7 linked regions of the Callithrix jacchus genome follow. The protein of the gene in region 1 purifies or fractionates together with the protein of each later gene. This does not show direct contact. Links are inferred from orthologs where the notes say so. Each region holds a gene or a part of one and is shown in the gene's direction. Other genes may lie near its edges. The genes, in order: MAVS, EIF2AK2, NLRP3, IFIH1, ITCH, TRIM21 and BAG6.

Region 1 (4,082 bases):
TCGTTTTGTCTGTTTTTGAACTTTATATGACTGGAAGCAGACAGAATGTGCTCTTTAGTGTTTGGTTCCATTCACTAAGCACTATTTAGCTGCTGGTGCCCACTCAACTGTGGGAAGATCCTCCTATGTCTGTGTGTCAATAGTTTGTTCATTTTCACTGTGGTATACTATTCCATAGTGTGATTACACCATAGTTTGTCTTTCTGTTTTCCTGCTGATGACCATTTGCGTTTTCGGATTTTGCCTATCATGAATAAGTCAGTACAAACATTATCTAGGTGTATGTTTCTAGGTAGATATATACCCAGGGGCGAAATTGCTGGGTCATAGGATTAGCATACGTTTAACTTCAGTAACAACTGTCATTTTTCCAAATCTCTTTTTTCTTTTAAGATGAGGTTTCACCATGATGGCCAGGCAGGTCTTGAACTCCTGACCTCAGGTGATCCACCCACCTCAGCCTCCCAAAGTGCTAGGATTACAGGCGTGAGCCACCGCGCCCGGCTCCAAATCTCTTAAACTCTTTTTAAAACAGGAAGAATAAACCTACTCTACCTGATTATCGTGAGCGTATTTAATGAACTCTAAAGAATAAGGTTTTAAGCCTTGTGCCTGGAAGACAGTAGGTGCTCAATAAGTGCTGGCCTCTGCCCCAGCAGGGGAAAGGCGAGGCAGAAGGCAGGAACTGCGGGAGGTACCCGCCCCATACCGTTGGGCGGAAGAGGCCTCTCCCACGCAGCACTTAAGTCACCCCCAGCCTGCCCGTCAGCCAGTTTGGCGTGCCTGCCTTGGGCCTACCCACCCTGCATTCCGTCGCCCGCTCCCGTTCCCACAGGCCCGGCGTGCGCGTCTCCTGCCTAGGCATCCTTGCCCCTGTGACTTCAGCGTCTCCCAGCGTTTGCTGGACACTAACTGTATGCCAGGCCATGAGGCTGCAGGAGAGAACGACACGAAGATCCTCGCCCCTCAAAGCTCCCGGCAGGAGGAGGGGCTGCTTCACTTGAGAAGCGTGGGGATGGAATTCTCAGCCCGCCAATGACTCGGAGGCCGGCCGCCCGCCTGGTTTCTGGCCGGACACTGGACTTCCCCTGGAAGTTGCTCGAGACGAACAAGGGAAGAAAACAATCCGCTCTCCCGCGCCCCCAGCAGGAAATCAGGTCGATCCTCCGAGCCTAGTCCTGTGTGTCCCCGACCCGCAAACCAAGGCCCAGCGCCCGCCCCCGCCTCTCCGTCCCTGAGCCTCCAGCCAATCACGCGCGGCCGGGAAGCCCCGCACCCTCCTGTTGGCCAATGGCCGCGCGGCCTGCCTGCCCCGTCCCGTCGCTGCGGGGAGGGTCGTAGGCCCCGCGCGGCTGTCGCCAGGTCGCAGGGCCGGGGCTACCCGAGGTAAGATCGCCGCTGGGGCCCTTGGTCCTCTCTGCTCAGTACACACGGACGCCTTTAGGGAAGGTGGCTGCAGCGGAATGACCGCGTCAGCCGGGGCGCCCTGGGTCTGGGGCGCTCGGGGTTCGGGAAGAGCCGGCCCTGAGGCGCACGGGGTTCGGGGACACTGAGGGCTCCAGGCGCCGCATCCAGCACCGGGGAAAAGGGGTAGGTGGCGCTGGGCGTCTGCTCTGTCTGGGGGAAAGGTAGAGCCGGAAGGGCACGGGCAGTGGCCGCTGACCTCCTGCTGCCCGCAGGCCCAGGGTGACTCTAAGGGGGGGCCGAATCTCGACGGGCCGCGCCTTGGGCTCGAGTACTGCCGCCCTCCCCTGGGTGTGGACAGTTCTCGGCGGCGACACCAGCTCAGAAGAGCTTCCCGGCGCTCCGCGGACCTGGGTCTCGCCCAGGAATCCGATCCGAGGCTGTGAGGCCTGTCCCTTTCGGGAGGGTGGGTATTTATTTCCGGGACGCACTCAGAGCCTCTGGACAGTCAGGTCGGAAACTTTGCTGCATCGAGAACACTCTGTCACCTCCTTCCTTCTCAGATGGGAGAGGTGCCAGGAAAACAATGAAACAAACCAAAACAACGAAGAAGGCATTCTCTGTATGGAAGTCGTGAAGCCTCAAAACTATCTAGGAGGACAGCCAACGACTTGGGACCTGTGGCCGCAATGTGAGGGCAGGGTTAATGTCTGATCTAAATGTTGCTTCCTCCCAAGTGCACCCTCAGCCTCTCCCCACAAGTGACCTTGGGCCCTCTTTGGGCTTGAAGGCAGGTGGCTCTGTGGGCCTCACTTGCTGCAGGGGTCTCTGTGCCCTGCAAGGTGTATGACCAGCTGCAGTGAGGTAGGAGATTCTGGGTTCAAATCCTGTGCTAGCCTCTGGCCAATTGTGCACCTTGGCATCACTTCCCCTGTCACGGGACTGGGGAAGGATTAACTAAAAGAACCTTAGGATGTGCTTGTCTACAGTTGGCCCTCAATAAATGTGAACAGACGTGGGCTTCCTTTCCTTTTGGTTGGGCTACATCATCCCCTCCCCTCCATGTGTGTTGTAGGGGCTGAGGCTAGAGTGCCTCATCTGATTGCCTCCTGGTACCTGGCTGATGCCATGAGAAAGGAAGAAGAAACAGTGTTTTGTTTTTTTTTTTTAATGGAGTCTCACTCTGTTGCCCAGGCTGTAGTGTGATAGCCTGATCTCAGCTCACTGCAACCTCTGCCTCCCAGGTTCTAGAGATTCTCATGCCTCAGCCTCCCAAGTAGCTGGGAGTACAGGTGTCTGATGCCATGCCTGGCTAATTTTTGTATTTTTAGTAAAGACCGGGTTTTACCATGTTGGCCAGGCTGGTCTCAAACTCCTTACCTCAAGTGATCTGCCTGCCTTGGCCTCCCAAAGTGCTGGGATTACAGGCATGAGCCACCATGCTTGGCCAAGAAAGGGGTCTATTAACTGTCACAGAGTTGGTTTTTGCTCTTTTTTTTTTTTTTGAGACGGAGTCTTGCCCTGTCCCCAGCTGGAGTGCAGTGCATGATCTTGGCTCACTGCAACCTCCACTTCCCGGGTTCAAGTGATTCTCCTGCCTCGGCCTCCCAAAATGCTGGGATTATAGGTGTGAGCCACCATGCCCAGCACTTTGCTCATTTCTTGAAGGCTCAGAGCCTGACCCTCCTGAACTGTCCTTTGCACTTGGCCCACAAGGAATGCAGCAGTGCCTGGTGGTTGGCAAAGCAAGTTGTGCATGTGAGACTCTGAGGCCTGTGACAAGACTGTTTCCCCTGTGAGTGGGGTTTGGTGGCCCAGCAGCTTTCAGGTGCTGTCTGCTCCGCAGCACTGCCTCCTAGAGGTCTCATGCTTGCCTGATGCCCACTTGGTCCTCTTCTGCCTCCTTCCCTCCCTGACAGCCCACTAGGAATCCAATAGCATCTCAAGCTTCACTGTTCAAAACTGAGTTCTGGAGTTCCTTCTGAGCCACTCCTCCTCCCCTGGCTTCTCTGCTCTGGTAAATGGGCACCTGCCATCTACCCAGTGCCTAAGGAGTCATCCTTGATTTTTTTCTCTCCCTTATCTCCTACACCCTCAAAACACCAGAAATCTGGCTGCCTCCTGCCAACTCTGTAGTTTCCATCCTGGCCATAATCATCCTGTCTCCTCGGCTGTGGCCTCCTGACTGGTCTCCCAGTTTTCATCCTGGCCCCTCCACAGTTCTCACAATTGTCAGAGAAGTCTTTAATGTAAATCAGATCCTCTTCTTTCCCTGCCAGAACCTTCCAATTGGTCCCTGTTTCACTCCAACTAAAACCCAGAGTCCTTTCCTACAGCACCCTACGTGAGTGGTCCCTTTTACCTCCTTGACCTTCATCTTGCCCCTCTCCCTAGCTTTCTTAACCTTGACCACACTGACCTGCTTTCTATTCTTCAAACATGCCAAGTTCATCCCACTTTAGGACTTTTGCATTTACCATGCCCTCTGCCAAAAACACCAATCTTCTCAGAGCCTTAGAACGGCTCAGCTGTGTTCTTAACACTAGTTCAGAAAGGCTTCTTTGACCCCCTAGTTCAAGTAGCATGCCTGTCTCCAGGGGATGTGTCTCTTTACCTGCTTTATTTTCTTTAGAACCTTTATTGCTATCTGGAATTCTTATTTGGGTAAGAATTTACTG
Region 2 (3,500 bases), on another chromosome or scaffold:
AGTCACTCATCCCAGCTATTTAATTGAGGATCTAGCAGGGAAGACTCACCCTGTTTGAATGTGTTTCTCTCGATGGCCTCCAGCGGAAACACAAAGGAAAAAGAGTTCAAATACCGGAATAATTTTGCAGTAATATATAGTAACTCCATGATGTAAATTGCCATGTCCATTGTTTTATCCCTGAAAAATAGTTCTTATGTAATTGTCCAAGTGTCCTTGCCTAGCCACAAATGTTGTTGCCTCTAATAGGAGGAGAGTGTGGACTTTAGTATCGGGCATCTGCAAGGTGGGGATTTTCTCTTTTCTTTTTTGAGATGAAGTCTTGCTCTGTCACCCAGGCTGGAGTGCAGTGGTGCAATCTTGGCTCACTGCAACCTCCACCTCCCAGGTTCAAGCGATTCTCCTGCCTCAGCCTCCTGAGTAGCTGGGAATAAAGGCTCACGCCACCACGCCCAGCCAGTTTTTTATATATTTAGTAGAGATGGGGTTTCATAATATTGGCCAGGCTAGTCTTGAACTCCTGACCTCGTGATTCACCCACCTTGGCCTCCCAAAGTGCTGGGATTACAGGCGTGAGCCACTGCGCCTGGCCCACTGTGGGGATTTTCTCAATTTTTGTGCACATAAGCAGATGGCAGACAGTGTTGAAGTTAGAGCAGAATCCATGCTTTGCTCTTTCCCTACAAAGCCGCAGCACTGTAACCTCATAGCTTCTCCTGTGGAAGCCTCATTTTCTCTACTGGTTTTTTCTTTCCCATTTGAGCACCTCTGAAAAAAAGATCCTCTACTGGATCTCTTTTATTTCTACCTCCATACCTTTTGACCTTTGGGGAATTAAAGAAAAAAATCACTACTTAGTGCCTTTGTGCCAGATCTTTAAGCAAAAAAAAAAAACAAAAGATTAGAAATTGCCTGGAAAATGCAAGCTCAGATATCAGCTGATCCTGGTTATTCAGAGACATTGGTCAGGCATGTTACTGAAGGTTTAAATTATGCAAGATATGAAATATAAATCTATCTAATAAATTAGTGTTATCTTAAGATCTCTGTTACTATGGACTTTTTAGTCATACGTTGGATTTACTATATTTTTCATGTTTGTATAAGTACCTTCCATGATTTCTCCTAGATTTCATTATAAATGCAAAGTGGGGCAGAAAGAATATGGTATTGGTACAGGTTCTACTAAACAGGAAGCAAAACAATTGGCTGCTAAACTTGCATATCTTCAGATACATAAATCAGAAGAAACCTCAGTGGTACGTACTGCCTTTGGATTAAAATTTTGTGTTTAAAATTCCGTCTGAAGTTGACTTGAGGTTAGACTGTGTTTACATTATGCCAAGACATCCAGTGATTTAGCAAAATGATTCCTCCATTCTGTGTCACACCAATGAACCATGTGCCATGGGGCCATGAGGCCTCAGAGGGATAAAAATTCTGTGGGTAACTCAGGGTGGTTTTTAAAATCCAGACCAGGCCAGGCGCGGTGGCTCACACCTGTAATCTTAGCACTTTGGAAGGCCAAGGCTGGTGGATCTCCTGAGCTCAGGAGTTTGAGACCAAAACCATGTCTCTACAAAAAAAAAAAAAAAAAAAAAAAATTAGACAGGTGTGGTGCGATGCACCTGTAGTTTCAGCTGAGACTACTGTCCTCGGGAAGCTAAGATGGGAGGATCGCCTGAGCCTGGGAGGTGGAGGTTGCAGTGAACCAACATGGTGCCACTGTACTTCAACCTGAATGACAGAGCCAAATCCTGTCTCAAAAACAAACAAACAAACAAAAATTATCTGCCCTGTGATCCAGAAAAGTAAAATAAAAAATAAAATAAAATCCAGACTAAACATCCGTTAAAAATGTTATTAATATTGTAATTGTTTATGGTTGTGAATTTGCTAATGTGTCAAAGTAACTGTGATAGTATACAGACACTGAGCCTCTGTAGAGAAATAATTAGTTGCATTTAAGCCTACTAATGGGCACTCTTTCTTTCAGAAAGCTGACTCCACATCCTCTGTTTCTTTTACTCCTGTGCGTGACATCCAAAACAACCCTTTAGTGACCAGCACATTGTAAGTGTAGACAAACAATTAAGATATTTAATTGCCATCTGAAAGAAATTTTTATAAAAATATTTAATGTTTAAGGAGAATTTAGAGAAAGAATCAGTGATAAAAAATGGTAAACTAATAGTTATATCCTTTTCTTCTAGGGCTTCTGAATCATCACCTGAAAGTAGTTTCTCAGCAGATACATCAGAGATAAATTTTAACAATAGTTTAAACAATTGTTCTTCATTGTCTATGGTATTGTATTAGTCTTGAAGCTTCCTACTTAATCTTATTTTTCTGTGTGTTTCCTTATTTAAAAATAACTTCCAGTATTCCATCATAATTTTTATATTTTTATCTTATGCACTCTTATTAAATGATAATATTCAGCAGCCCTTTGACTCTTTAAAATTAAGTTCCATTCCTCATTCATTCACATGTTGCCTGTTTTTCCTCACTCACCCTTATATTTTAATATATTCCTATGATCTTGCTTTTTTCTCCCACCAATGGGATAATATTTAAAGATTTACTAATATAGTTTTGTTTGTTTTTAAAAATTAGAATTAAACAACATTAAAAGTAAACTCGAAATCAGATAATTTTTTAGCCTGGTGCAGTGGTACATGCCTGTAGTCTGCAGCCACTTGTGAGGCCAAGGTGGGAGGATTGCTTTAGCCCAGGAGTTCAGGACCAGCCTAGGCAACATAGTGAGACTCCATCTCAAAAAAAAAAAAAAAAATCAGATAATTTTTTTGTGCACATAATGAGGCAATGCTGAAGTTAGAGCAAAATCTATGCTTTTGATGATTAGTGTTACGAGAGGATTCTGTTATAAAGAACTACAAATCAGTAAGAAAAAGGCAAGCAACTCAGTAGAAAAATATACAAAGCTTATAAACAGATAGTTCAGAGAAGAGATACCCAATGGGCAACAAATATTAAAAGATACTTTACTAGGAATCAGGAAAATGTAAATCAAGACAAGTAGATACTATTTTAAACTCGTTAGATTGGCAAAAAATTAAGTCTTACAATGCTAAGTGTTTGTACAGAGGTTGAAGAGAATATAGACATGGATGGACTAAGGAATTAGTCACAGAGCCATCTAGAAATACAGGAGAAAGGAAGATGATCGATTTAGTTATCTGAAACTATTTCTCACTTTCTTTTGTTATAGAATGGTCTCAGAAATAATCAGAGGAAGGTAAAAAGGTGAGTATCATTATGCATTGAACATATTTTGAAGTGAAGTTTTATTTCAGACTTACTTATTGTTTTTAATACTTGTAGAGTAATGTATACCCTTATTTGAGTGGAGTTTCAGAAGCAGACAGCTTGAAATCTATAAACAAATAATTTTAGTTGTGTCAAGAAATATTTGAATGTATGTGCATACTACACCATAGACATAAAGCCCTATGGGGGTGTTGCTAGAGTAATTAGGT
Region 3 (2,950 bases), on another chromosome or scaffold:
GCCACAAACTCATGGTGGCTTCCGTGGCCCACGTAATCTGGCCCCCACTGCTTCCGAAGATTCGTCTTCTCCTGGCCCTTCCTCATTCTACCCCCATATAGGGGTCCCCTTGCTGGTTTGCAAGAACACTTTCATCTCTGGATTTTTGCACTTGCTTTTCTTCCTGCTTGGAACTTTCTCCCCTTCAATTCCATGTGCCTTATCCTCCACACATTCCTAAATTGTCTGCCTAAAGGTCTCTGTGAGGCTGTCTCTGACTCTCTTACTGAAAATGGAAGCCCAACATGTCCTTTCTTTTATCTTCTCATTCTCCCCTGTAGTGTTGCACATCTTATGTGCTCTGTCATTTTCTCATTTATTTATGATCTGTGCTCCCAAGATATAAATTCCTTTAGTCCAGGGACTTTGGTCCATATTCAAGATCTCAAGGCTGAGAGCCTGTTGGAATGCAGGTCTGAATAAATAAAAGTTTGAATCAGCTTTGCATCCTCGTGTAGACATAATGGGGCATGTTTGCTGCCGGACAAGCCCACATTCCCAGAGCGAAGAGAGATAGAGGAAAAAAAGAGGGATTGCTCAGGCCAAAGCTGGGGACATTGCTTCATACAGAGTCACTGACCTAGCCCTGAGGGACGTTCAGGACCCAGGCCAAGGGTCAGGCTCAAAATAGGCTGAAGAACCCATGAATGCCATCAATCTGTTTTCTCAGGCTGCCATGACAAGCTGCTATAGACGGTGTGACTCAAACACAGAAAGTTATTTTCTCACAGTTCTGGAGGCTGCAAAGTCCAAAATCAAGTCTCTGGTGAATTTGGTTGCTGATGAGAGTCCTCTTCCTGGCTTACATGGCTACCTTCTTGCTGTGTGATCGCATGGCGGGAGGGGAGGCGAGGGAGAGAAGACGGGGGAGAAAGAACAAACTCTCTGAAGCTGCCCCTGTAAGGGCCTCGCCCTCACAGCTTCATCTGCCTCCCTCCCTCCCTCCCGAAGGCCCCACCTTTCAGTACCATCACGTTAGCGTTTCGGCTTCATCATGGGAGTTGTTAAGGAGGAAAACATTTGGTATACAACACAACCAAATTGAGATGCTCAGCAATGATGCGGGACAAATGGGCTGATTCAATAGTTAAGTTTCAAGGGAGACTTTGTATTAAAGAAGAGAAGGAACTTTCATCAAAGAAACGTGAGCGGCATCCTGGGCAGATGCAATGTGTAGACTTGATCGGGTTTGTGACTAAATGAACGTAACGTAAAAAAAATTACAAGACAGTTGAGGAAGTATAAATGCTGGCTGGACATACAGTGACACTAGGAAATTACTATTAAACAGTTTTGATGTGATGGTGATATTGTGATCCTGTTTTAGTGTCACAGAGTGAATTATTTATACATGTGTTAACTGCACTATTTAAAATAATCCATGGTGGGAGGAGTGGGTGGGTATTAGAGGAAACAGGTTGACATGACCTGTGTCATTGTTGAACTTGGGTAACGGACACAGGGGGTTTGTTATACTGTATTGTCTACTTTTACATATTCTTAAAATTTTTCCAACTAGATAAATTTTTTTTACTAGATAGTTAAAAATATAACAGAAACCACCTTGGGCACTGAGAGCTTCTGTTCTGTTTTTGTTTTTTTGTTTAACATTTTAGAGTTTAGAGGTGTGTGTTCAGGGAAATGAAGAGATGAGACTTTTAAGGTTAACGACTCTGAGAGACTTATCTGAAGAGTGCAACCCAGGCTTTCTGTTTGCTTTTACAGGTTGTGTGAAATGTTTTTCAATTATGAGACAAAACGTGCATTAGAAACACTTCAAGAAGAAAAGCCTGAGCTGACCATTGTCTTTGAGCCCTCTTGGTAGGGGCAGAAGCAGGGCTGCCAGACGCCAGTGTTCTCTGGCCCCTCCACTCCTTGGGTGCTGCAGTCCATCCAGCCCAAAAATCCTTCCAGGGGGGTGTTGGAGAAGAGAGCTTGCTGATGACGCCTCTGTGTAGAGAACGGGCATCTCCTTTATGCCCGGGTGAGGAAGACACGAGGGTGATGGAAGCTTCCGGATGTTCTCATCACAGCACCTTAATTAGAGGATGTTCCTCTTGGCGACCTTATGTAATTAGCTCATTCAATAAAACATTTTCTTTGTCTTTATTTTCCTCTCCTCACTGTCTCTAACTTTCTTTTTCCTATCTTTTTTTCTTCTTTGATCTATTTTTGCTCATATAATCATTCCTGCTATCTTTCTATTAACTGACCATAACACAGAACTAATTGACTATATATTATGTTGAAATTTTGTGGCAGCTACTTATTTATTTAAAAATTTTTTGTAATAGTTATGTTTTCTAATAAGAATAATTCATGCTTTTTGTAGCTAGTTGAAAATTCAGGAATATGTAAAACTTTTTTGTATTTATTGAATTAAATTGTTGCCTTTTCTTAATTTCAAAAAAGAGTGCCTAGACATTTTAAAAATTATTTATTTAAACCACTTAAGATAAATTAAATTGCTTTGTGCATTTTAAAAATCGCTTTGGCAAATGATTCAATTGTAGATAATTTTTAAAAAATTACCTCACACTAATTGTAATGAGTGGAATTTCAGCTTTGCTAGGATAAGAGCTTGAAAGTCATAGAGGGAAAGGTTTCAGGGTTTTGGAGCCTGCACTCATAACCAGAAGTATTAGGCAGAAGATGCATCTTGCCTTCATTTGATAACAACTCATTTTGGATTTATCCCATCTGAGGAACGGTTCATCTATCATACTTCACAGAGCATTAAGTTATAAGGAAATATTTACTAATTGCCTCTCTACACATGGACAACTCTTGAACCGCATGGAATCGCTCAGGATGGAAATAGTATACAATTAACCATCAAAGTAGCCACACTTGGCTACTCAAGTTGTGGTCTAGGAGCTGTAGCTGTACGGAACTTGAATAAGATTGTAAA
Region 4 (3,500 bases), on another chromosome or scaffold:
TCCAGGGAAAAATATTTCAATATATTATTTTGCTATTAATTACATAGGAAATTAATCTTGGTACTTGTCTGGTTAATCTATTATATAGACTCCAAGCTTGCTTGCAAGGGTTTAATCTCTTTTCTATGCTATATATGGCTGCCTTGAAGGGAGATCTAAAATGTAGAGTTGGGAGCCAAAGAGATGGGCTTTGTTCATCAGCACTGATGACTTACTTTTCTGAAAACTTCCCCCTCAGTCTTAAAGAAAATAGTTACTTCCACAATTATTTAATATAAATATATCATCTATGAGAAGTCAGTTTGGAGGTAAATTATTCAAGAACCAGATTTTTTACTGTAAAGTTGGGTTGTTATAAACACTGTCAGCCCCTATGTCCCTATGTCAAGTTTCATATGTTAAATAAACTAGATTGTTTCTATTATGAAATAAGTGCTGCTGCTACTCACAGAGCCTAGAATAAAGGTGTCTATGGACATATTCTCTCACATAAGGAATCTAGGCAGTGTTGGCTCCATGATGTTATGAGGAATCCAGGTTTTTGTTTGTTTGTCTCTTTGAGATGAAGTCTCGCTCTGTCGCCAGGCTGGAGTGCAGCGGTGCTATCTCGGCTCACTGAAACCTCCGCCTGCCAGATTCAAGTGATTCTCCTGCCTCAGCCTCCTGAATGGCTGGGATTACAGGCACGTGCCACTACACCCAGCTAATTTTTGTATTTTTAGTAAAGAAGGGGTTTTACCATGTTGGCCAGGATGGTCTCGATCTCTTGACCTCATGAACTACTGGTCTCGGCCTCCCAAAGTGCAGGAATGCAGGCCTTTTCTCTCTCTTTTATGCCATTATAGCATTGGGCTTTCATTCTCAAGGTCAAAGATAGCTTTTAGAATTTCAGCTGCCACATCTTTATTCTAGGCAGGAAGTAAGAAGAAAATGGAAAGGACAAAAAGTACACATGCCAGCTATCAAACTTTTAAGAAGATTTTCTGAAAATTCCACTCAACAGCTTTTTACTTGTCATTGACTGCTGGTTTGGAAATGTAGTCATTTAGCTAGCATATTCCACCCAGAATAAAATTATGGTTCTGTTCCTAGGAAAAATGGATACTGAGTGCGAAACTAGCAATTTCTGCCACAAATGTGTAAAGAGTAGACTGATTAAGATGGTGAAGGGTTTGAAAATTATAAAGCATGAAAAAAGATTAAAGGAATTTGGATGCTTAGCATGGATTAGAGAAGATGTTCATAATGTAATAACAGTGTTTAGTAAAGAGATTCCATGCGGAAGAAAGTTTAGACCTATTTTATGGAACAGAATTAAAACAAAAGGGTAGGATGGGCACAGTGGCTTGTGCCTGTAATCACAGCACTTTGAAAGGCTGAGACAGTTGAATCACTGAGATCAAAAGTTTGAGACCAACCTAGGCAACATGGCACAACTTCATCTCTACTAAAAATATGAAAATTAGCTGGGTGTGGTGGCGGGCGACTGTAATCCTAGATACTCAGGAGGCTGAGGCAGAAGAATTGCTTGCACCCAGGAGATGGAGGTTTCAGTGAGCTGAGATAGTGTGACTGCACTCCAGCCTGGGCAACAGAGCAAGACTCCATCTTAAATAAATAAATCAACAAATAAATCAAATAAAATAAATAGGTAGGCTAGACAGAGAATTTTTGTTGAGTATTGCTAAGGACTTTCTCACAATAGAATTTCTGAAATGGAATGGGCTACTTTTTGAACACCTGAAGGTTCCACATTTTCATGGTTACAGTAGATGATTGTATACTAAATTCTTTGGGGGATCATTACCTCATTATTTTTATCTCGTAGACCATGAGCTAAGTATGTATTTTAAGTTTCAAGTGACTTACTTCTATGAAACTGAAAAAAGAAAACAAACCTAAAACCACTAACTCTTCCTTTCTCTGTGCAGATTTTGGAATTACAGATGCAAAGTATAATGGAAAAGAAAATGAAAATCAAGAGAAGTACTGCCAAGCATTACAAGGAAAACCCATCACTAATAACTCTCCTTTGCAGAAACTGCAGTGTCCTAGCCTGTTCTGGGGAAGACATCCATGTAATTGAGAAGATGCATCATGTCAATGTGACACCAGCATTCAAGTGAGTCCAGAAAGAACCATTTTAAAATTTTTCTACCAGGGGTGAAGCAGGTTGTATTGTAAATGTTCTTTCAAAATAGTGCAACTGAGATTTTACAACTTTCCATCCTTTAGCCCCTCAATTATATTCCTATTTCAAATGTCTATTTTTTAAGTAAACTGCACTGCAGCAGGAAAGGAGAAGTGTACGAACCAAAGCCATTTTGATCCAAGGCACGTATTTTTGTATGCTCATCATTTGTTCTCAAATTTCTGAACAACTAAAGTCAAGTTAATATAACCAACAAACTTGAAAGAAGTTACAATAGGTAACTTGCCCTTTGAGAGATATATGTAGAAGAGAAAGATTACCTGAGTTGCCATAACAAGCCTGGGAAGCAGAAGGGAAGGAAGGAATGCCATGTAGAATAACGCATGCATGTGGATGAGGTTCAGGTCCAACAACCCATGAACAAAAACCCCATTGGTATTTTGTCAGTTGTGATGATTTTTCTTCCCCTTTGATACTTATAGGGAACTCTACATTGTGAGAGAAAACAAAGCACTGCAAAAGAAGTTTGCCGACTACCAAATCAATGGTGAAATTATCTGCAAATGTGGCCAGGTGAGTCAGTTGTTGTGGACCTGATTTTACTTTAGCCCAAAGGAATGTTTAATTGCATATGCATTTAATTTTCCTCTTGTTTTCTCTTTTATTTTCCAGGCTTGGGGAACAATGATGGTCCACAAAGGCTTAGATTTGCCTTGTCTCTTAATAAGAAATTTTGTAGTGGATTTCAAAAATAGTTCTACAAAGGAACAATACAAAAGGTGGATTGAATTACCCATCACATTTCCAGATCTTGACTATGCTGAACACTGTTTATTTAGTGATGAGGATTAGCACTTGATTCAAGATTCTTTTTAAATACTATCAATTAAACATTTAATATGATTTTGATTAATGTATTAATTATGCTACAGAGCTGATATAAGAATCAATAAAATGATTGTTTTACTCTGGATCGAGCTCTTTTTAGGAACATATTATCCATTATCCATTTTCCATCTTGTTGGTGGGCAGGGGTAAGGAAAATTTACCAATAATTCTCATTAGTGTGGAGCATTGTAGTCCTGTGGAAAGAATCATGGAGTACAAATGAGAATTCAAGGTATGATGGAGTACAGATGAGAATTCAAGGTACCAATCTCAGGTCTGTCACTTATTGTCAGAATAAAATTAGGCAAATCATTTGATCTTTCTGAACCAGTCTCCTTATCGATGAAATGGTCATAATATTCTCTGCTTTTTCTTTTTATTGATTTTTTATTGCTGTATAACAAATTGCCACAAATTTAGTGGCTTAAAACAACACTCATTAATTATAACGCATGTCCTG
Region 5 (3,722 bases), about 6.6 Mb from region 1:
CAGAAAAGCTCTGATTTCTCCACATCCTCACATCCTTTTCAACTCTTGTTTTCTTCTTTTTGTTGTTGTTGTTTTAAATAATAGCCATCCCAGTAGGTGTGAAGTGTATCTTATTTGCATTTACCTAATGACTAAGGATGTTGAGCATTGTTTTCATGTGTTTATTGGTCATTTGTATATCTCCTTTGGAGAAATGTATCCTTTACCCATTTTTAAATATTGTTGAATTCTAAGTTTTTTATATATTTTAGATAGCAGTTCTTTATCAGATATATGATTTATAAATATTTTTTTCCATTTTTGAGTTATTTCACTTTCGTGACGGTATCCTTTGAAGCACAGTAGTTTATTTTTGTGCTTCTATAGGAGTGGTGTTATACTACACTACTCATTTGATTCTTTGCATATTTCCTTTTCTCAAACTAACAATTCTTGCTTTTAGTTTTAATCGCCTGGACCTGCCACCATACAAGAGCTATGAGCAACTGAAAGAAAAGCTGTTGTTTGCCATAGAAGAAACAGAAGGATTTGGACAAGAGTAACTTCTGAGAACTTGCATCGTGAATGGGCAAGAACTTGTTTGCAATGTTTGTTCTTCTCTGCCTGTTGCACATCTTGTAAAATTGGACTGTGGCTCTTTAGAGAGTTATCTGAGTGTAAGTAAATTAATGTTATCATTAAAATTTATCACCCAGTGATTTCTACTCACCATTTCCAGAAATCAGGTCTGCAAATGACTAGTCAAAACTTTGCTTAACATGAAATTTTAACACAGCAATGAAATCTGCCTTGTCTTATTCCACTAGTTTGTTCCCTTAACAATTTTGTATATAGGTCAAAAGTTTCACTTGGGAGTAGGTTTTTTTCTTTTACAAATTCTGGAGATAAGCAGGGAAGTCCTTTGGTAACTGCAATATACAAGATCTTCCTATTAAGCCTCTTGGGATGAGGCATTTGTTAAAAGTGCAAACTTACCCCAGCTTCTGGGGATGTGAGCAAAATTTTGGCTTGTGTTCTCCTCATTTTAGTCTGACTTGACTATTGTCTTTCCTTTCTGGAGCATGAATCCATACATCATTCCTGGAAGTGATGCAAAACTACTGCATCTCTCTACAAAGTAGTTTTGTCAATTTGAATTCAGGGAAAAGTTGGTCACAGCCTCTAAATAATTTCATTTGGAAGTTTGATTGTTTTAGTTGCCTGGCAAATACTACACTTTACGAACAATATTAACACTGTGATTCCTTCGTTGTTGTTTTAAGTTAACCTAGGGCCAGGCGTGGAATCCTAGCACCTTGGGAGGCTGAGGCAGAAGGATCCCTTGAGGACAGGAGTTCAGGACCAGCCTGGGCCACATAGGGAGACCCTGTCTCTTTTGGGGGGAAAAATAAATGGGAAAAAAGTTAACCTAGAATTAGAATTAATTTAATTGAATTCATCTAAGGACATCACTGGTGATTTTTATATGTTCTACATAACTGATGCTTTATAATTTTATCATAATCCAACAACTTCAGTTTATATTTAATTATTGTTAAGGAGTTTAAGACTAGAAAGACAAGAGTGCTTTCTAGTCCAAATAGAGGTCAATGAAATAGCTTCTGACATCAAATTTTCATTTGAGAGGGAGAGCTGTGGTATGGGCTAAAAAGAAAGGAAGATAACGTCCAGTAACTACAAGAATATATTCTCTGTGAATTAAAAGTCTTCAAATTTATCATTTCTCTGACATATGTTGGAGTAGTCATTTCCATTCTTTACATTGTCCTGAAATGGTTTGATATCCCTCATCTGCAATATTCTTTTTACCCTTAAAATTTTTAGCAGGGTTTTCTTTTTTTCTCATGACTATTTTAAGTTTAGATTGCTCCATTACTAACTGATTAATGTACTTTGAAGTTCTCTGGAGTTAATTCTTTTAAATTGGCCTAGCTTAGACTGTCAAGATGGCTGTTATAAATTGGACTTTATGAGCAGTGGAATGAAGCCTAAGCCAGCTGAGTCCCTATTATAGCTGTACTGTGAGGACAGCCTCATAGCTCATGTATAAGGGACTTTGCCATGTTTGAGAGGCATAGCATGAACAAGTAATATTAAGCCAAGAACAAGCAGCAGAACCCTGTTCCATATGGAAAAAAATATTTTTTTTGGCCCTAATGCTCTTCCTTTTTACATCCTGGAACAACAATAAAAACTTTTTTTTTTTAACTTGGCTATCTGTACTCCAAGACACTGCCATCATAAAGCAGAGACTTACATGAGTGAAAAGGTTGCCTCATCAAAGAAACTCAGTGTAAATTGGGAGACTAGGCTCTCCCCAGCCCTGTGGTTTTTTTTTATTTCATGTACCCCAGGAAATACTGTGTGGTTTCCAGTAGCCCTAGTTGTTAAAAGTAGGGACTCTGCCTTTTTGTTGGTAGGGGGGGAAAATGCTATTGCTTTGTCTTACAGAGCGAATGTCTGCCAACTACCCGTTCATTATATAAGTCTGAACTTCGTAATATATGGCTAATGAAGATTAAGCCCTCTATAAAGACTTCCTGTTGAGGTGAATTCTCATACTGAAATGTAGTTATCTACAATATTTACTAGAGATTTATGAGATTAAATTAAGAGATAATGTAAGAAAATAGATTTTTTTTTTGTTCTATATAATGCTTCATGATTCATTTAGGGACCTAGAAATATTGTGTGAAAATATATAAATATCACCCAAAAGGCTTTCTGCCCTATATTTTTAAAATACAGAATAGTTATATTTGAAGTAGCCCTGGCCCTAGTTCTATAGGGCTTGGCTATTTAATATTTTTATGGAAGAAGTGTTTAGTTCTGGAAAAGGTAAATGCTTGTATATATTTTTGCAGCCTGGGATCTCCCTACTCCATTTTTCCCTTTAATTTAAGTGGCCACATGTATATGTCTTCCCTGCTGTGTTAGGAAAATGGGGGCTGGATATCCCAAGAATCAGAGGTTATATAAAAATACTGCAAATAGATAGCAGACATAAATATCTACCAAATGCTATCTTAAATTTTGGTCCAAACTGAACATATGGAAATAGATTTATTGTAAGTATTTACGTAGACCTTTTTCTTAAATCTGAACTAAATTGCTTTTAGAATTCTTTCTCTTTGTAAGCATTGTAAATGCTAATAAATCCTGTTAATTATTATTATTTTTTTTTACTGCATGTTACATTGAAATAAAAACAAAGTAAAATGAGCAATTGCCTTATTCTTCTGCTCTTTTGCAGGGGGCAGGGGTTGGGGAAGACAGCATTCCACAGCCTGGTCAGGAGGGAAGGACCTCACTTTTTTGATCAAATGGAGTGGTTTAAAACTGATCAAACAGCTCATAATAATGAATTCCTGCTCTGTCTTTTATTATGTCAGAGTACAGAAGAACCTCATTTCATAAAACTTACAATAACTCTATTTAAAATTCAGGTATTGTACTTGGGAGGCTGAGGTGGGAGGATCGCTTGAGTCCAGAAGTTCAAATCCAACCTGGGCAACATAGCGAGACCCTGTCTCTTAAAGCAACAAAAAGACATATTCAGGTACTGATTTTTCATCAAGAGATTGACATACCAATGACTAGAAATTTTAGTGAAACATGTTCAACTATACACAAAGTTCTCATCCTAAACGAACTATTTCAATCAAGCCCGCTCTACCACTTTTTACTTATCTGGTTAATAATCTGAAATGTTAATCAGGGTT
Region 6 (4,195 bases), on another chromosome or scaffold:
ATTGGGGGGGAAAGGGGAGGGTCAGTGGGAGGGGGAGGTGGGGAGGGATAGCCTGGGGAGAAATGCCAAATGTGGGTGAAGGGGAGAAGGAAAGCAAAGCACACTGCCATGTGTGTACCTACGCAACTGTCTTGCATGCTCTGCTCATGTACCCCAAAACCTATAATCCAATAAAAAATTAAAAAAAAAATAGACAAATGGGTAAGGAAAGTGTGGTACACATACACAATGGAGTACTGATTAGCCATAAAAAGGAGAACCTTTCATTTGCTACAACATGGATGAAAAATAGGGGTCATTATGTTAAATAAAATAAACCAAACACAGGCAAACAACCAATTGTACATTCTCACTAATAAGTGGAGCTAAAAATTAGAACAATTGAACTCATGAAGATAGCAGAATGATGGTTACCAAAAGCTGGGAAGGGTAGCCAGGAGTGTGTAGGGGGGTGATTAATGGGTTCAAAATACATGAGATAGAATGAATAAGATCTAGTATTTTATAGCATAACAGGGTGACTACAGACAATTTATCATACATTTTAAAATAATTAAAAAACATATAATTGGATTGTTTGTAACACAAAGAAGTGATAAATTCTTGAGGTGATGGATACCCCCACTTACCCTGATGTGATTATTACAGACCGTATGCTATACCTGTGCATCAAAATATCTCATGTAGCCCATAAATACATACATCTACCACAGACACAGAAAATTTAAAATTTAAAACAAAATTACTTGGGTAAATTTTATATTCTGTGTATTTAACGATTAAAAATTAATATAACCTGAGAATGTCCCTAGCTCGGTGATAAGAACATAGTTGGTTATCAGATGTCAATTCCCTTCTCACCACTCACTGGTGGGATACTTACCTCGGGGTCATGCGAAATAAATCACTCACCTGCAGATGTTAAAAAAATAATAGTCACATCAGTCACATGAAAAGAATTAGCTTCTGGAAGTAAGAAACAGATGACGGCACGTGAGGGAGAGCACCAGCCACTATTCTCTGCATCCAACCCTCCTTAAAAGCAGCTTCCAGACATGGGCAAAGCATCTAGGTGTGGGGTGATAACCAGTGTCAAAGAAAGCAGCCCGGACTCCCCCATCTTGCAGATATTTTACTAAATCAGATAATGAAGACATGGGAGGGGGTGCGCACCCAGGACCACAGGCTACTGGGCTTCCATTACTTCCCAGTCTCATAGAAGCCCCCTGGCTGTCCAGAGCCTCTGAAGCCCCCCGCCAGCCCAACTCTGACTTCTCTCCTCCCACCTCTCTTCCTTCTCAGCGGCATTTCTCCACACACCCTTTCAAGGCTCCGCTCCTCCCACGGCTCCTCCCTCTCTCCTCTCACGGCTCCTCCTCCCTCCCCTTTCCCGTCAGACTTGCCTCTGAGCGGAAACTGAAAGTGAAATAGGGAGCTGGCTACCCGCGTTGAGTCCCCTGTAAAGGTGAGTGAACCTCACTAAATCAAGGAACCCCTGCCCTCCTAGTGGACCTCTCCCCTGCCCCAGGGCTGCAGAGCCCCTTCCAACCAGTCTCCATCCTTGAGCCGGTCCCATTTGCCCCTTCTCCCACCGGGGATCCCTCAATCCAAGCCCCTCTGTGCTTCCGAGGCTGGTCTCCTAACCTGGAAGGAGGCTGGGGTATGGACATGACTGCTGCGGAGTTACCCAGAAGGGGTAGGGTTCCGGGCACTTGGGAGGAGACTGGGGTGTGGGACGTGACTGCGGAGTTACCCAGAAGGGGAAGGGTTCCGGCTGCCCCCTACTTGGGAGGAGGCTGGGGTGTGGACGTGACTATGGAGTTACCCAGAAAGAGAAGGGGCCTGGCTGCCCCATTGCTGGCACCTGAGCTGGGATGAGAGCTGGGTGCAGCTGAGAGAGCCAGCACTACTGCCTAGCCAGGAGCGTGGGGGAGATCTGCAATCCTGGAGACTCCCAGGTCCAAAAGTCCTCCAGAGGTGAGGGGCAGGCTGCTTAGGATGTTCAACCAGAAATGTATAGGCCTTCAAAATTACTCTTTGTCATAGAAGAAGTGATGTCAGGAACTAAACTAAGTTTGGAGCAGCTGAAAGAAGAGCCCAGGGAGTGCTGGCCACAGTTCCTGTTGCTCTGTGTGAATACATTCACATATACATGCTCATGTACATACATATACACCTGACTTTTGCCAATATTGGAATGATTAATGAAGATGTATTCAAAGCATGTGTAGTATCTCTGGCACATGGAAGGTACATGGTTAAAAGTAGCTATTTTATGACTAGTTTCTCAGCAACATGGAGGCCTGCTGGTACCAGAAAGAAGATGAATGGGCACTGAGGGTTTAAGCAGGAATGGACATGAGAGAACTGTCAGCTTTATGAGGTTCTTGCCAATTTTCACTCCCTCCTTTAGGGACTCAGTTTCTCCTTCTGTCCCAGTGGATCAATGGGCCAAACAGTGGAGGAGTTCTTGTTATTCAGAAGAATAAACTTATTAAACAAACTATTTGGTCCATGCAAAAGTAATACTGTTTTTGCCATTAATTATTTTTCCATTAATATTATGCCCTTTTTTTTTTTTTTTTGGAGATGGAGTCTCCCTCTGTTGCCTGTGCTGGAGTGCAGTGGCACCAACTCAGCTCACTGCAACCTCCACCTCCCAGGTTCAAGCAATTCTCCTGCCTCAGCCTCCTGAGTAGCTGGGATTACAGGCACCCACTACCACTCCCAACTATTTTTTGTATTTTTAGTAGAGACAGAGTTTCACCATGTTGGTCAGGCTGGTCTCAAACTCCTGACCTCAGGTGATCCACCCACCTCGACCTCCCAGAGTGCTGGGATTACAGGCGTGAGCCACCATTTTTATTTTTTTATTTTCCGTTTCATCATTTTGTTTTTCTTTTTTTAGTTTTAATTTTTCTGGGCATGTAGTAGGTATATTTATGGGCTACATGGAACATTTTGATACAGGTATACAGAGCCACCATTTTTATTTTTTTATTTTCCTTTGCATCATTTTGTTTTTCTTTCTCTAGTTTTAATTTTTCTGGGCACATAGTAGGTATATTTATAGGCTACATGGAATATTTTGATATAAGTATACAATGTGTAATAACCACATCAGGATAAATGGGGCATCTAGCACCTTAAGCATTGATCATCTGTGATAAACTATGCAATTATACTCTTTCAAATGTACAATTAAATTATTGACTATCGCCACCTGTTATGCTATCAAATACTAGATCTAATTCACTCCATTTTTGTACCCATTAACCATCCTACTTTTCCCCCAACACATCCTCCCTACTATTCTTCCCAGCCTCTGGTAACCATCTTTCTATTATCTAACTCCATGAGTTCAATTGTTTTGATTTTTAGCGCCTACAAATGAGAACATACAATGTTTGTCTTTCTGTGCCTGGCTTATTCCACTTAATGTAGTGACCTCCAGTTCCATTCATGTTGTTGTAAATGACAGGATCTCATATTTTATGGCTGAATAGTACTCCATTTTGTATATGTACCACATTTTATTTATCTATGTATCTGTTGATGGACACTTAGGTTGCCACCAAATCTTGGCTATTGTGAAACATACTGCAATAAACATGAGTGTGCAGATATCACTTTGATACAGTGATTTCCTTTCTTAGGGGTATATACCTAGCAGTGGGATTGCTGGATCATATGGTAACTCTATTTTCAGTTTTTTGAAGAACCTCCAAACTGTTCTCTGTAGTGATCGTACTAATTTACATTTCCACCAACAGCTTATGAGGGTTCCCTTTTCTCCACACCCTCACCAGCATTTGTTATAGCCTGTTGGATAAAAGACATTTTAACTGAGGTGAGATATCTCATTGTAGTTTTGATTTGCATTTTACTGATAATCAGTGATGTTGAGCAACTGTTCATATGCCTGTTTGTCATTTGTATGTCTTTTGAGAAATGTCTATTCAGATCTTTTGTCCATTTTTGAACCAGATTATTACATTTTTTTCCTATAGAGTTGTTTGAGCTCCTTACATATTCTGATTATTAATCCCTTGTCAAATGGATAGTTTGCAAATATTTACTCCCATTCTGTGGGTTGTCTCTTCACTTTGTGGATTATTTTCTTTGCTGTGCAGCAGGTTTTCAATTTGATGTGATCCTATTTGTCCAATTTTGCTTCGGTTGCCTATGCTTGTGG
Region 7 (3,500 bases), on another chromosome or scaffold:
CCTGATTCCAGACCCCATCTTCTTTGCCATTTTTTAATCTTGGGAATTATAGGAGAGTCTGATAAATAAACTCCTGGTATCATTTTGTGTTTGGAAAGGGGTCACTGATGTTTCAGACACACATTCCCGTGGGAGCCAGGCAGAGAATGTAATGTCCAGATGTTTTTTTTGTTTTGTTTCTCATCCATGTTATTTTTCATGGACCTATATATAACCTGAGCTTCATTAAATTTATTTATTTAATTTTTTGAGATGGAGTCTCACTCTGTTGCCTGGGCTGGAGTACAATGGCACAATCTCAGCAACCTCTGCCTCCCTGGTTAAAATGATTCTCTTGCCTCAGCCTCCCTAGTAGCTGGGATTACAGGTGCCCACTACCACACCTAGCTAATTATTTTTGTATTTTTAGTAGAGACAGGATTTCATCATGTTAGGCTGGTCTGGAACTCCTGACCTCAGGTGATCTGCCTGACCTTGGCTTCTCAAAGTGTTGGGAATACAGGTGTGAGCCACTGCACCCAGCCAAGTTTATTGTCTATATTTTGACAGCTGTTACTTCAGTTTAAGGGTTTGCACGGTGATTACCTCACAGTCAAGACAAATGGGTGGTGATTCTGTCAGTTGTCCGTCTCTGTTCTTCCTCTTTCCTCTATTCTTTCCATTCCTGTGCATACCTTCTCTTCCTTGCAGATGAATGTGAAAGAGTTTAAGGAGCACATTGCTGCCTCTGTCAGCATCCCATCTGAAAAACAACGGCTCATTTACCAGGGACGAGTTCTGCAAGATGATAAGAAGCTCCAGGAATATAGTAAGGCGACTGGGGAGGCAGTTGAGACGTTGAGACTGCTATCTGGAGTGTTGAGTTGAGGCCACGGGTTTACCTGTTCATACTATGTTTTGGTGTGTGTCTATTTTTCTGCAGATGTTGGGGGAAAGGTTATCCACCTGGTGGAACGGGCTCCTCCTCAGACTCAGCTCCCTTCTGGGGCATCTTCTGGGACGGGGTCTGCCTCAGCCACTCATGGTGGGGGACCCCCGCCTGGTACTCGGGGGCCTGGGGCCTCTGTTCATGACCGGAATGCCAACAGCTATGTCATGGTTGGAACCTTCAATCTTCCTGTAAGCTTATGTTCCACAGGGGAGGGTCTTTGTGGGTAGCTTTGGTTGTGGTAGCAGCAGGGTATTAATAAGATAGATGCTTCCATCTTTAGGTTGGGTTCAGGGGGCCCTGTGGTATGCTATTGGTGTCAGTGTTTAAGGAGAAAAGAGAGCGGGGCTCCAGGGAATGAATCGGAAGAGTGGAGGCCTTAGTATTGGCTTCTCCCAGAACAACTTCCCTTACCCTTTCCCCAGAGTGACGGCTCTGCTGTGGATGTTCACATCAACATGGAACAGGCCCCGATTCAGGTATTGAGGGGCCTTGGAGGGTCAGGGAAGGGGATCTGGGAGAAGGAGGCTGGGAGGTGGGGTAGACCTGGTTGAAAGATGGCTGGGACCTGATTTAGTAGGTGGTAGAATTCATGGCTTCATCTGTAACCTACCCTGATCACTCTTCTCTCATTGTAGAGTGAGCCCCGGGTACGGCTGGTGATGGCTCAGCACATGATCAGGGATATACAGACCTTACTATCCCGGATGGAGGTAAGTGGGCAAGGCTGGCTAGAGTCTCTCCCCACCTTCCCCCTTTTCTCTCAGCCTGGGGGTTGGGGCATAACTGGCCACATTCACAGGGTTTGGCCTTCGTAATCTAGACTTCTTTGCAGTATTCATTCTTTTGGACAGAAAAACGTATCTTTGTGAGCTGCTCTCATTTCTACCAGTCCTCTTGGTGCCTGGTGCCTGGTATCTGGGGAGTTTGTTTCAGATTTGTCTCATGGGATCTCTTTTTTTTTTTCAGACGGAGTTTCGCTGTTGTTACCCAGACTGGAGTGCAATGGCACGATCTTGGCTCACTGCAACCCCTGCCTCCTGGGTTCAAGCAATTCTCCTGCCTCAGCCTCCCGAGTAGCTGGGACTACAGGCGTGCACCACCATGCCCAGCTAATTTTTGTATTTTTAGTAGAGACGGGGTTTCACCTTGTTGACCAGGATGGTCTTGATCTCTTGACCTTGTGATCCACCCGCCTCGGCCTCCTAAAGTGCTGGGATTATAGGCATGAGCCACCGCGCCTGGCTGGGATCTCTTTTCAATTAAAGGATTCCACATTTGGCCTGGCGTGGGGGCTCAAGCCTGTAATCCCAGCACTTTGGGAGGTCAAGGCAGGCGGAGGTCAGTGAGACCAGCCTGGCCAATATGGTGAAACCCCATCTCTACTAAAAATACAAAAATTAGCTGGGTGTGGTGGCATGTGCTGCATGCCTGTGGTCTCAGTTACTTGGGAGGCTGAGGTAGGAGAATCGCTTAAACTCGGGAGCAGAGGTTGCAGCAAGCCGAGATCATAGCACTTGAACCTGGGTGAGAGAGTGAGACTCCATCTCAGGGAAAAAAAAAAAAAAAAGGATTCCACACTCTTAACTAGTGAAGGTCAGGAAACCACAATCTCTACTCTTTGTTAGAAATCTGTTGACAAATATTACAGATGCTATGGGCAGGCGTGGTGGTTTCTGCCTGTAATCCCAGCACCTTGGGAGGCCATGGCAAGTGGACAACCTGCAGTCAGGAGTTCCAGACAAGTCTGGCCAACATTGCGAAACCCTGTCTCTACTAAAAGTACAAAAATTTGCTGGTTGTGGTTGCATGTGCTTATAGTCCTGGATTGCTTGAATCTGGGAGGTGGAGATTGCAGTGAGCTGAAATCATGCCACTGCATTCCAGCCTGGATGACAGAGTGAGACTCTGTCTCAAAAAAAAAAAAAAAATTACAGATGCTTATTCATCTAATTTATGTTAGTCTTATGCTAGTTGCTAGAAAGTCAGATATACAATTGCAGAGCCCTGCCTTCAGGGAGCCTAGTTAGGACACTTTCTCTATTCAGTCTCCTGCAGAGTAATCCTCTGCAGCAGTCTCATCCTGCCTTTTGGTATCCTGACTCTTCCCCACCTTCAGTGTCGAGGGGGTTCCCAACCGCAGCACAGCCAGCCACCCCCGCAGCCACCAACTGTGACCCCGGAGCCAGTAGCCTTGAGCTCTCAAACATCAGAACCAGCTGAAAGTGAAGCACCTCCTCGGGAGCCCATGGAGGCAGAAGAAGTGGAAGAGCACACCCCAGCCCAAAACCCAGAGCTCACCCCTTCTGGCCCAGCCCCAGCGGGCCCAACACCTGCCCCAGAGACAAATGCACCCAAGTAAGAGATGGAGGGAATCTTTAGGGGGTGGGGAATCCTGAGTGAAGTGTGGGGAGAAGAAAATCAACCATTGTAAAGGAAGGAAAGGATTGTTTGGAGGTCTTAGTTGGAGGGTTAGCATTGAGAGTCGAGGAGGGTATATCTCAGTATAAGTAAATGATGCTAGGAGAGGCAGCTGACAAGAACTGCTCTCCCTGTGGCAAGGAAATCCAAA

The links.
Region 2: the proteins of MAVS (region 1) and EIF2AK2 purify together in Homo sapiens (affinity purification with western blotting; 3 studies listed by BioGRID and IntAct, with this or other methods). This does not show direct contact. The link is inferred for Callithrix jacchus from reciprocal best matches to the Homo sapiens genes MAVS and EIF2AK2.
Region 3: the proteins of MAVS (region 1) and NLRP3 purify together in Homo sapiens (affinity purification with western blotting; 4 studies listed by BioGRID and IntAct, with this or other methods). This does not show direct contact. The link is inferred for Callithrix jacchus from reciprocal best matches to the Homo sapiens genes MAVS and NLRP3.
Region 4: the proteins of MAVS (region 1) and IFIH1 purify together in Homo sapiens (affinity purification with western blotting; 12 studies listed by BioGRID and IntAct, with this or other methods). This does not show direct contact. The link is inferred for Callithrix jacchus from reciprocal best matches to the Homo sapiens genes MAVS and IFIH1.
Region 5: the proteins of MAVS (region 1) and ITCH purify together in Homo sapiens (affinity purification with western blotting; 3 studies listed by BioGRID). This does not show direct contact. The link is inferred for Callithrix jacchus from reciprocal best matches to the Homo sapiens genes MAVS and ITCH.
Region 6: the proteins of MAVS (region 1) and TRIM21 purify together in Homo sapiens (affinity purification with western blotting; 3 studies listed by BioGRID). This does not show direct contact. The link is inferred for Callithrix jacchus from reciprocal best matches to the Homo sapiens genes MAVS and TRIM21.
Region 7: the proteins of MAVS (region 1) and BAG6 purify together in Homo sapiens (affinity purification with western blotting; 3 studies listed by BioGRID and IntAct, with this or other methods). This does not show direct contact. The link is inferred for Callithrix jacchus from reciprocal best matches to the Homo sapiens genes MAVS and BAG6.

What each region holds. Positions count from the first base shown.
Region 1 is NC_133506.1:11,368,896-11,372,977, forward strand, and holds the start of MAVS (mitochondrial antiviral-signaling protein), read left to right. Parts: upstream 1-1,282; 5' UTR 1,283-1,590; intron 1,591-1,967; exon of another isoform or gene 1,968-2,095; intron 2,096-4,082.
Region 2 is NC_133515.1:77,846,150-77,849,649, forward strand, and holds part of EIF2AK2 (interferon-induced, double-stranded RNA-activated protein kinase), read left to right. Parts: intron 1-1,129; coding exon 1,130-1,259; intron 1,260-1,996; coding exon 1,997-2,073; intron 2,074-2,213; coding exon 2,214-2,307; intron 2,308-3,232; coding exon 3,233-3,267; intron 3,268-3,500.
Region 3 is NC_133520.1:38,227,679-38,230,628, reverse strand, and holds the end of NLRP3 (NACHT, LRR and PYD domains-containing protein 3), read left to right. Parts: intron 1-1,764; coding exon 1,765-1,864; 3' UTR 1,865-2,450; downstream 2,451-2,950. UniProt on the Homo sapiens protein: Sensor component of the NLRP3 inflammasome, which mediates inflammasome activation in response to defects in membrane integrity, leading to secretion of inflammatory cytokines IL1B and IL18 and pyroptosis.
Region 4 is NC_133507.1:67,420,615-67,424,114, forward strand, and holds the end of IFIH1 (interferon-induced helicase C domain-containing protein 1), read left to right. Parts: intron 1-1,931; coding exon 1,932-2,122; intron 2,123-2,634; coding exon 2,635-2,725; intron 2,726-2,824; coding exon 2,825-3,004; 3' UTR 3,005-3,125; downstream 3,126-3,500.
Region 5 is NC_133506.1:4,798,831-4,802,552, reverse strand, and holds the end of ITCH (E3 ubiquitin-protein ligase Itchy homolog), read left to right. Parts: intron 1-442; coding exon 443-542; 3' UTR 543-3,222; downstream 3,223-3,722. UniProt on the Homo sapiens protein: Acts as an Acts as an E3 ubiquitin-protein ligase which accepts ubiquitin from an E2 ubiquitin-conjugating enzyme in the form of a thioester and then directly transfers the ubiquitin to targeted substrates.
Region 6 is NC_133511.1:69,716,676-69,720,870, reverse strand, and holds the start of TRIM21 (E3 ubiquitin-protein ligase TRIM21), read left to right. Parts: upstream 1-1,395; 5' UTR 1,396-1,465; intron 1,466-3,773; 5' UTR 3,774-3,850; intron 3,851-4,195. UniProt on the Homo sapiens protein: E3 ubiquitin-protein ligase whose activity is dependent on E2 enzymes, UBE2D1, UBE2D2, UBE2E1 and UBE2E2.
Region 7 is NC_133505.1:39,148,493-39,151,992, reverse strand, and holds part of BAG6 (large proline-rich protein BAG6), read left to right. Parts: intron 1-690; coding exon 691-808; intron 809-922; coding exon 923-1,119; intron 1,120-1,353; coding exon 1,354-1,407; intron 1,408-1,566; coding exon 1,567-1,641; intron 1,642-3,047; coding exon 3,048-3,286; intron 3,287-3,500. UniProt on the Homo sapiens protein: ATP-independent molecular chaperone preventing the aggregation of misfolded and hydrophobic patches-containing proteins.